2 linked regions of the Arabidopsis thaliana genome follow. The protein of the gene in region 1 purifies or fractionates together with the protein of each later gene. This does not show direct contact. Each region holds a gene or a part of one and is shown in the gene's direction. Other genes may lie near its edges.

Region 1 (3,214 bases):
CTCAATATCAAACCAACAGCTGAATGATTTTGAGAAACATAGATTGTTTGTTGTTTCACTGGCTGGACTTCCTTATAATTTTGCCAAAACCGTTATGCCCATATTTTGTACCCCAAGAATTCTGAATTTTCCAGTAGTTGACACCTTCCAGAGTTGTGTCGAAACCAGTCATTAAGACTACATGGCCACATGTGCTTGTGTTTTTTCGATTTGTTTGACCATGATAGATTTTGTCATATTCAAAATTTACAAGATATGAAATCAGTTGTAATATGTTTAAAAATGAATTATACCAACTACAAATACCACTTACATCTTTACATTCCTTTAAGCTTTCATAAGTATCTATCACAACAAGTAGAGGGCCGTCGTTGACAAGTTAGATAAACTCTTCTTCTCTCACTTGTTTGTCTCTCTTATATACCAAATCCTTGATTTTGAATGCAGGTATATCCTATAAGAATTCGTTTATAAGTATGATTAGTTAAAAATAAATGAAATTTGTAAGAAGACAAGATTTAAAAATGACACTTACATAGTTTTCGGAACTTTTGAGACAGATTTGTTTGAGTTTTCATGAGTATGGACAAGTTTTTCTAGAACAAGAACTTGTTTTGTCAAAAACTTTTTGATACTTGCCATAGTTACAGATTTTTCATACATGTTCCTAATATTGTTTATCAAATGTTGCGGTGATAGTTCAACAACTAGACCTATAAGAGCAAGTCATGCTTCGATGTGGCACCAACCTAGAGTTTATAAACCCCTAAGCAAAATGAAAAAATGTAATTTATAGGAATGAAATAAATTTTCAAATAATAACTTATATCTAAAATATAAAAAGTTATGCAAAATAATTTATAAAATAGTTAGTCACAAAAATTGTACAAAACTAAAAAAGTCTTATGTGATTAACTATAACCTATAACCTATTATTTAGGAAACAATTTAAAAATCAATGATATTTACTTATTTTTGCTACTGAAAATGCAAACCTGTTATTAAGTAATCGTAGAAAAGTCAAAAGGATTGTTATTCATTAACTCCCCCAAAAGCCAAGAAGAAGGAGAGTGAGAAATGGAGAGAAAACTTCACGACCACATTCACATTATAACTCAAATGTATATAAAAATTATCCATAAATAGCCTAGTCCTCATTCTCATATTCCTTTTGATTATTAGTGAGAACACAACACCAACAACAAAATGGGAGACTCACATTGCCGTTGTCTTCATGGCTTTATTTTGCTTGTTGTTCTGTTTCTTTCCTTCGTGTTTAGTTTCGCTTCAAAGATAGACGTTTCTTTTCACGGAGACGAGAAACGTAGTCTCTCTAGCTCCATTAATTCCTCTCTTAGTGAGTCAGCGGAATACACAATGTGCGCGACTCATAAAGAGGCTAAGGATGGTAAACCAATCGCATTGGATTTCGATTGCGAACAAGGATATGTTATTTCAAAGATCACTTACGCCGACTATGGCCAATCCACTGGTAGTTGTGGGAAATTTAAACGCGGTAATTGCGGTGCAAGCAATACCTTAAATATCGTCAACAAGGTATACAAAATCAATCAAAAATACAAATTTTCTTTCAAATAGTGTTCTTATTAATTATTATCGTTTGTTTGTGCAGAAATGTCTTAGGAAAGAGAAGTGTAAGTTGTTTGTTCCAGACAAGATTTTTGGTCCGAGCCACTGCAAGGGAGCTTAAGTCTCGTTATTGACGCTACTTGTAGAAAACTTAGTTTTTTTCTTGTTTTCCAAGTTAAAGTTTCTTTATGTAATCGACCTAGTCAAGCTTTTGTTTCCTACTTTACACGTTTGTTACATTTTTTCTCTTTGTTGCAAACCCCAAATGTGTATGTGCCATACAATATCAATCATCTTTGCCATATTTTATCGAACTGTTTATAGGTTACTCAATATTTTTCTCCTCAAAAAATGTGAAGACTGACACGTACCAAATCTTTTAAGTGAGAATCACAACAAATCACATAAAACACCAACCAATTCCATTCTTTTTCCTCTTTTGACACACTTTAATCCAAATCTGATCAAGTTTTGGGGCCACATTGCAAAATTGGGGCCCGTTGTAAGTTTTGGTCCCAATCTGAAAATGCATATCCCACCGACTCTGACAATTAGGGCTTATAAATAAACGAGCACATAAGTTCATAACTTGGTTACTTCATTATTCTTCCATCTTTTTCATCAAATTGCTAAGAGAGTAAAATCGCCCCATAACGAAGTAACCATGTCGAAGAAGATAATCGTGTTGACAAGCTCCGATGATGATAAAGGGTATGGCAGAAGACGATTGTGCCGATAATGGAATCCCTCTTCCAAACGTGACAAGCAAGATACTCTTATTGGTGATCGAGTATTGCAAGAAGCACGTCGTTGAGAGCAAAGAAGAAGATCTAAAGAAGTGGGACGCTGAATTCATGAAGAAGATGGAACAATCGATTCTCTTTGATGTTATGATGGCTGCGAATTATCTCAATATCCAAAGCCTTCTTGATCTCACATTTTCAAACTGTCGCTGATTTGCTCTCAGGCAAAACTCCAGGCGAGATTCGCTCATACTTCAATATCGAGAACGATTTCACAGCAGAGGGAGAAGCTGAGATCCGCAAGGTGAATCAATGGGCTTTTGAATGAAAGTGGATCTTCAAAGTTCTTTCTTCTTTAGTGTTTTCGGTTTTCTTGATGCGATGTTAGATGATTACTTCGTCTATTTCTTGTTTGTTCTGTTGTTTCTTTTCTTTTGGTTTCTTGATGCATAAGTAAACCAATGTTTGTTGTATCTTTACCCTAGAGACGATCTATTGTTGGATTTTAGTATATGCTAACCAAATCTGAAGATTGATGTTTTTGTTTTTGAAGCAATTCTTGAATATATGTGAAGTCAAATCCTTCCTTTTTTTTTTCTTATGGTAATTGAAGTTTACTAATCCGAAACTAATTATATGACACTTGAATTTTGATATTCTATACTTGTATCATAATTAATAATCAAGCAATAAATGCAAATTGTCAAGATTGAACATTCTAAAATAGATAGTGTGAAAATTTGTTGTTCTCTTTGCGAAATAAAAACAGTTGTTTTAATATTCTCGTAGGAATATGATAAACCTAATTATAGAAAACTTCGCAGCCACATCCGCACACAAATTCGCATCTCTAAGAAACTTTAATTACTAATATTATCATA
Region 2 (4,991 bases), on another chromosome or scaffold:
AATCATTTCCTTTCTCTTCACTTTCCTCGTCTTCCATTCTTCACAGCTTCTATTCTCCGTCTCACTAGCTCTCCTCTCTTCTCCGACTCCAGATTCTCCTCTCTCCCCTCTCCAATTCGCTGTCGGTCTTCACCGTCACCTCTCGGATCCCGAGTTCCGCCGCCGTGCTCGCGTATCTTCACGCATCGTGCTCTTCGTCTGCGCTACTTCCCTCGCTGGATTCTGCTCCTCTGCTGTGTTTTGCTTGTCTAGTGATTCGTTTGGACCCATTGGAAGAATAGGGTTTAGGGGATTAGTGACTGGATTGCTTTACGCAGTCCTCTTTGTTACTAAGCAACGATGGGTTTTGGAGTTTCCTATCATTCAGGTTTTGTGTCTTTGCTTCTTGATTTATGGAATGTTTCATCAATTTTGTATCTTTGCTGATTCTTACTTGTGTTTTTTCAAAACAGCGTCCACCGTTCTTCAGCTTCAAGATTGGTCTTCCTTCGGCTCTAACACAAGCTTTGAAGCTATCTGGTGTGCTTTATGTGTTGTCGACGATAATGCTATTGTTTCTGCTAGACTGGTCAGGTGGGCTTGTGTCTGTATCGAAATTTTTGGGTGAGCAGGTCTTATCTTATGCCGGCAGTTTCTGTTTGATTCTCTCTTGGGAAGTCACTCACCATATACATAAGGTTAGTTAAGTTTTCTCTGTTGATTTGCTATTGATAGATGTAATTGGTTGGTCGTATAGCCGTTTAGATTGGTGGTATAGTGTTTAGTATTTTAAGATCCCTGTAGCTTATTAGTGAACATAGTTGAGGTTAGCACTCAGTATTACTTGAGTGATGCAAAACTTAACTGAGAAAAATTTGAAAAGACGACAAGTTAGCTGTGTTTGCAATCAAATGTTGCATTGATAGTATGTGTAGAATTGTTTTCCTGTTTTGTTAGTCATTTCTGTCTTTACTATTTATGTTTTGGAAGCCTATACCAAGGTCTGTCTGTCTTCTGTGTATGTGGATCAGTTCAAAGAAGACTCATATAAATTTGTATCGATATGTTTACTTTTCTTGAATAACTTAACTCTATTCCTACCTAAACAACTTTAAGTATTCATCGGTGAGTTTGCTCTGTGTATTACTTGTTACATCCATAAACTTCAGCTACTTTTCCAGGTTCTAGATACAAAAGAAGTTAGTTATAATTGTTGTTTTCATATCCAGGTTCTGCACACAAAACGGTTCAGCTTTGCTCCTCCAAAAGGATCTGCTGCAGCAGAAACGAATCCAAGCGAGCCTCTTCTTGCTGCTTTAGAAGGGAGCGCTCCAGGTTCCCTCGAGCAGTCTCTTGCATACCTTGATCTCTACATGGTGTCTCAGAATAATGTTGACACATGGCGTCGTGCTGCCTTCTTTGAGGAGTCCACCGAGACGTACAAAAGAGTAATTACTCTATGCTTGAGGCCTTTGGAAGAGCTTGCCTCCAAGTTAGCTTCTGGGCTAGACCACACCTTTACTGAAAAAGGTTATCAGACACCACTCCAGCCACCAACCGAGTCCTTTATTGATCCAAAATTCGGCGAATCACTTAAGTCTTTCCAGGTAAAACGAAATTCAAATTTTGATCCCTTTTCTATGTGATAATTTCTTCATGTAGCTGTAACCAAAATCTGTTTGCTCTGTATCCGATATTTGCAGCTATATGCATGGTGTGCTCAAACATCTGCATCCCTGACTTCAATCTCTCACAAGGAAGACAGGCTCGGAGTAGCTCAACTGTCTGGTGGAAACGCTGATGTTGTCTCAACACTTCTATCGCTTTTGCTAGCTATCGAAACGTTTATGGGGAAGAAGACTAATCTTCAATCACCTCAACAACTGATGGGACCTGCTAGTATCAAATGGGCGACCTCGAGTATGGTCAGAAAAGACGTTAAACCCATCAAAAGGAGTATTGGCGCAATGTACGCCTACGCATATGCAGCGACAGATGTTTTGAGGATATCAGTATACCAGATTCTATCCACATTCCGCGATGAAATGCTCAACAGCGACAGAGCCGGACTTCTTGGTAGAGATTGGATTGGAAGCAAGAAACCACCTTTTGGAACAAACGACATGCTCCTACAGAAGCTTAAGCTCTTCCTCGAGTTCCAAGCTTGATGGAAGATTAAAGAGGTACAATTCCTCGATTAAATGTGGTAACAAGTGTCATCATGATTCAAGAGCTGGATAGAAAAAGGAACTAGAGTATTTTGTTACATGATCAAAAAGCCTTGTATTGGAAAATGAAATCCCTCGATTTTGCAGAAATTTGGGATTAATCTTGTTTTTGGTAAACTAGAAAATTATATAAGAATCAAACTTTAATGGTAAGTTTTGCATCTTAAATCTTGATTACATAAATTTTGCAGAAGACTCTCTATATGCTTAACAGTAACTAACTCTTACGCAATTTACGAAGGAAACCAAAATTAGAATCTGAAATGGGCCAGAGATTTATTAGGGCCCATGGCGTGGCTAATAGTAATATCGAAGGAGAGATCGTGACCGTTGGATGATGATTAATATAATAATTGTATAGTGGTTAAAGCTTAGATTGGCTACATTACACATCGCATTTACTTAAAGGGCAAAACCCTCCAGCGCCGCTTGGATCTCTCTCTCCTCTGTTCTCTCTTCCCTTATCTTCTTCTTATACCCTTCGACCAACGAAGAACCCTAGAAATCGATTAACAAGGTAAGCCCACTTCAGCAAATCGTTCACTCATTTCATTTCCAAGATATTCGATTGTTTCCTTCTGATTTAGCACAAGGGTCAAGATCATTTTTTTGTTTTTGTTCTTCCTCGATTCATATGTTTTTTTTCATTGATTACTGTTTTTGATATTGGTTATCTTGTTTTCCAATAACTTGTTAGTTAGTTAAAAGTAATGTTTGTGTAATGGTGACCTAATCGATTGAAAAAATTGAAACTTTAGGTTAAGCTCATTGTAACAATACGAGCTTTGTTCTTCTCGCTGCACTGTTCTCATAATCCTAGTGTAATCAATTTGTGGGTTGTGACTATTGCTCAGTATTACTGTTTTTGTCATTGGCTAATTAATAACAGTATTAGTTATTGTATATGCTTAATTTATAAGATACATTTTGGGCTAAATGGGTTTAGCTTTGTGTGTTTGTTTTGAAAAACAGATGAATAGGGAAAAGTTGATGAAGATGGCTAACACTGTCCGCACTGGCGGAAAGGGGACAGTAAGAAGGTATACTCATTTATGTCTTTTCTGTGAATTTGTGTTTTTGCCATTTTTCATGTTATATTCTCTAAACATTTTGACTCTCATTTCAGAAAGAAGAAGGCTGTTCACAAGACCACTACAACCGATGACAAGAGGCTCCAGAGCACTCTTAAGAGAGTTGGAGTCAATTCCATTCCCGCCATTGAAGAAGTTAACATTTTTAAGGATGATGTAGTCATTCAGTTCATTAACCCTAAAGGTAAAACATCAAATTTTATGGCTTTATAAATCTCAGGTTTCGTATAAAATTTATTGTATTAATGGTTGTTGTGTCTCTGTTTTAATGTTGCTATCACAGTTCAAGCTTCAATTGCTGCTAACACATGGGTTGTGAGTGGTACACCACAGACGAAAAGTAAGTGTTTGTATCCTCATTGTTGATCCAATACTATTCTCGGTTTATGCATAGTCTAATCTCGGAATGTGAATTATCCTGCAGAATTGCAAGACATTCTTCCTCAGATTATCAGCCAACTTGGTATGCAGCATTAAGTGTTACACTCTGATGTCCTTTCCCAAACCAGTGGTCCCTTAAGTTAACATTTTGTTTTCTTGCTTTGATAATCGCAGGACCAGATAACTTGGACAACCTGAAGAAGCTAGCAGAGCAATTCCAGAAACAAGCTCCAGGTGCAGGTGATGTCCCAGCAACAATCCAAGAAGAGGACGATGATGATGATGTCCCAGATCTTGTAGTGGGAGAGACTTTCGAGACCCCTGCTACTGAAGAGGCTCCCAAAGCTGCTGCTTCTTAGAGGAGGAGGAAGAAGAAGGAGAAGAGCTCACCTGCAAAACCCATCATAAAAATGTTTGTCGCTCGACCTCTTCTGAGCACTGTCAGATTCTTGTTTTCTCTAATGCTTGCGAACAGAAAGACTTGGTTTTATTATCACTTGATGCTTTTTGGTCCGAACAGCAATTTTCCTTTTATTAAGGTTAGATCGCTTTTTGTTTACCACCTGTTCAAATGAGTACTACTATGTCCTGTCGCTTCATACACTTCTTGCAACACAGTCCTTTGTTTTGAGTCAACGATGTCTTGAGATGAACAATCAACAGTTTCGTACATTTAAATGGAAATTCCAAAGATTTTACATATTTCCAATTATTGGATGTAAACATTCCATAGAAATACAACACTCTGAATGCAATCAAGTAATCATGATTGTTTCGTTTTCGATCTCTTCCGCTTTCCCCTGTTGTGCTAGTGTTTCGTAAAGCGGAGCGTTTCGAGTTTCTCGTAGCCAGAGACTCACGATGCCGCTCAGCACTGATGCAACACCAAACACGATGAACGACATCATTGCGCTTTCCCTTCCTAACGCAACTAGCAGTGGTGCTGCAGACGCTCCTAGCATAAACGCTTGACGCAAAAGTGAGACAGCAGTGTTCCTAACGTTTGTTGGGAACAGCTCTACGCAGTAGACATATAGGACGTCATACGCTGTCGAGGATGCCATGAACCCAACCGCCTCAACTGCAAGTTGTAACCATTTTGCCACAGATATCGCACGGATCACGCGGTGGATCGAGAGAACCGCGCAGAGCAGACACGCGAATCCGGCGAGGTATGATGAATTCGAGAATAGTGGACGGCGGTTCATGACCCCGAGGAGGAAGCTTCCGATGAAAACCGCTGGAAACTCCATCAGAGCGTTAACAGCAACAGTTAAGTAAAGATTGAAGTTGAGATTTTCAGCATTTAGTT

Evidence for each region.
Region 2: the proteins of SK6 (region 1) and AT1G73230 fractionate together in Arabidopsis thaliana (co-fractionation; one large-scale study listed by BioGRID). This does not show direct contact.

What each region holds. Positions count from the first base shown.
Region 1 is NC_003074.8:19,667,878-19,671,091, forward strand, and holds SK6 (SKP1-like 6), read left to right. Parts: upstream 1-2,288; coding exon 2,289-2,546; downstream 2,547-3,214. Other genes in the region: AT3G53050 (D-galactoside/L-rhamnose binding SUEL lectin protein), read left to right, coding at 1,207-1,557, 1,634-1,711. UniProt on the Arabidopsis thaliana protein: Involved in ubiquitination and subsequent proteasomal degradation of target proteins. Together with CUL1, RBX1 and a F-box protein, it forms a SCF E3 ubiquitin ligase complex. The functional specificity of this complex depends on the type of F-box protein.
Region 2 is NC_003070.9:27,539,553-27,544,543, reverse strand, and holds AT1G73230 (Nascent polypeptide-associated complex NAC), read left to right. Parts: upstream 1-2,591; 5' UTR 2,592-2,724; intron 2,725-3,179; coding exon 3,180-3,247; intron 3,248-3,333; coding exon 3,334-3,482; intron 3,483-3,581; coding exon 3,582-3,638; intron 3,639-3,722; coding exon 3,723-3,761; intron 3,762-3,853; coding exon 3,854-4,038; 3' UTR 4,039-4,316; downstream 4,317-4,991. Other genes in the region: AT1G73240 (nucleoporin protein Ndc1-Nup protein), read left to right, coding at 1-367, 453-677, 1,209-1,586, 1,683-2,147; OCT1 (organic cation/carnitine transporter1), read right to left, coding at 4,435-4,991.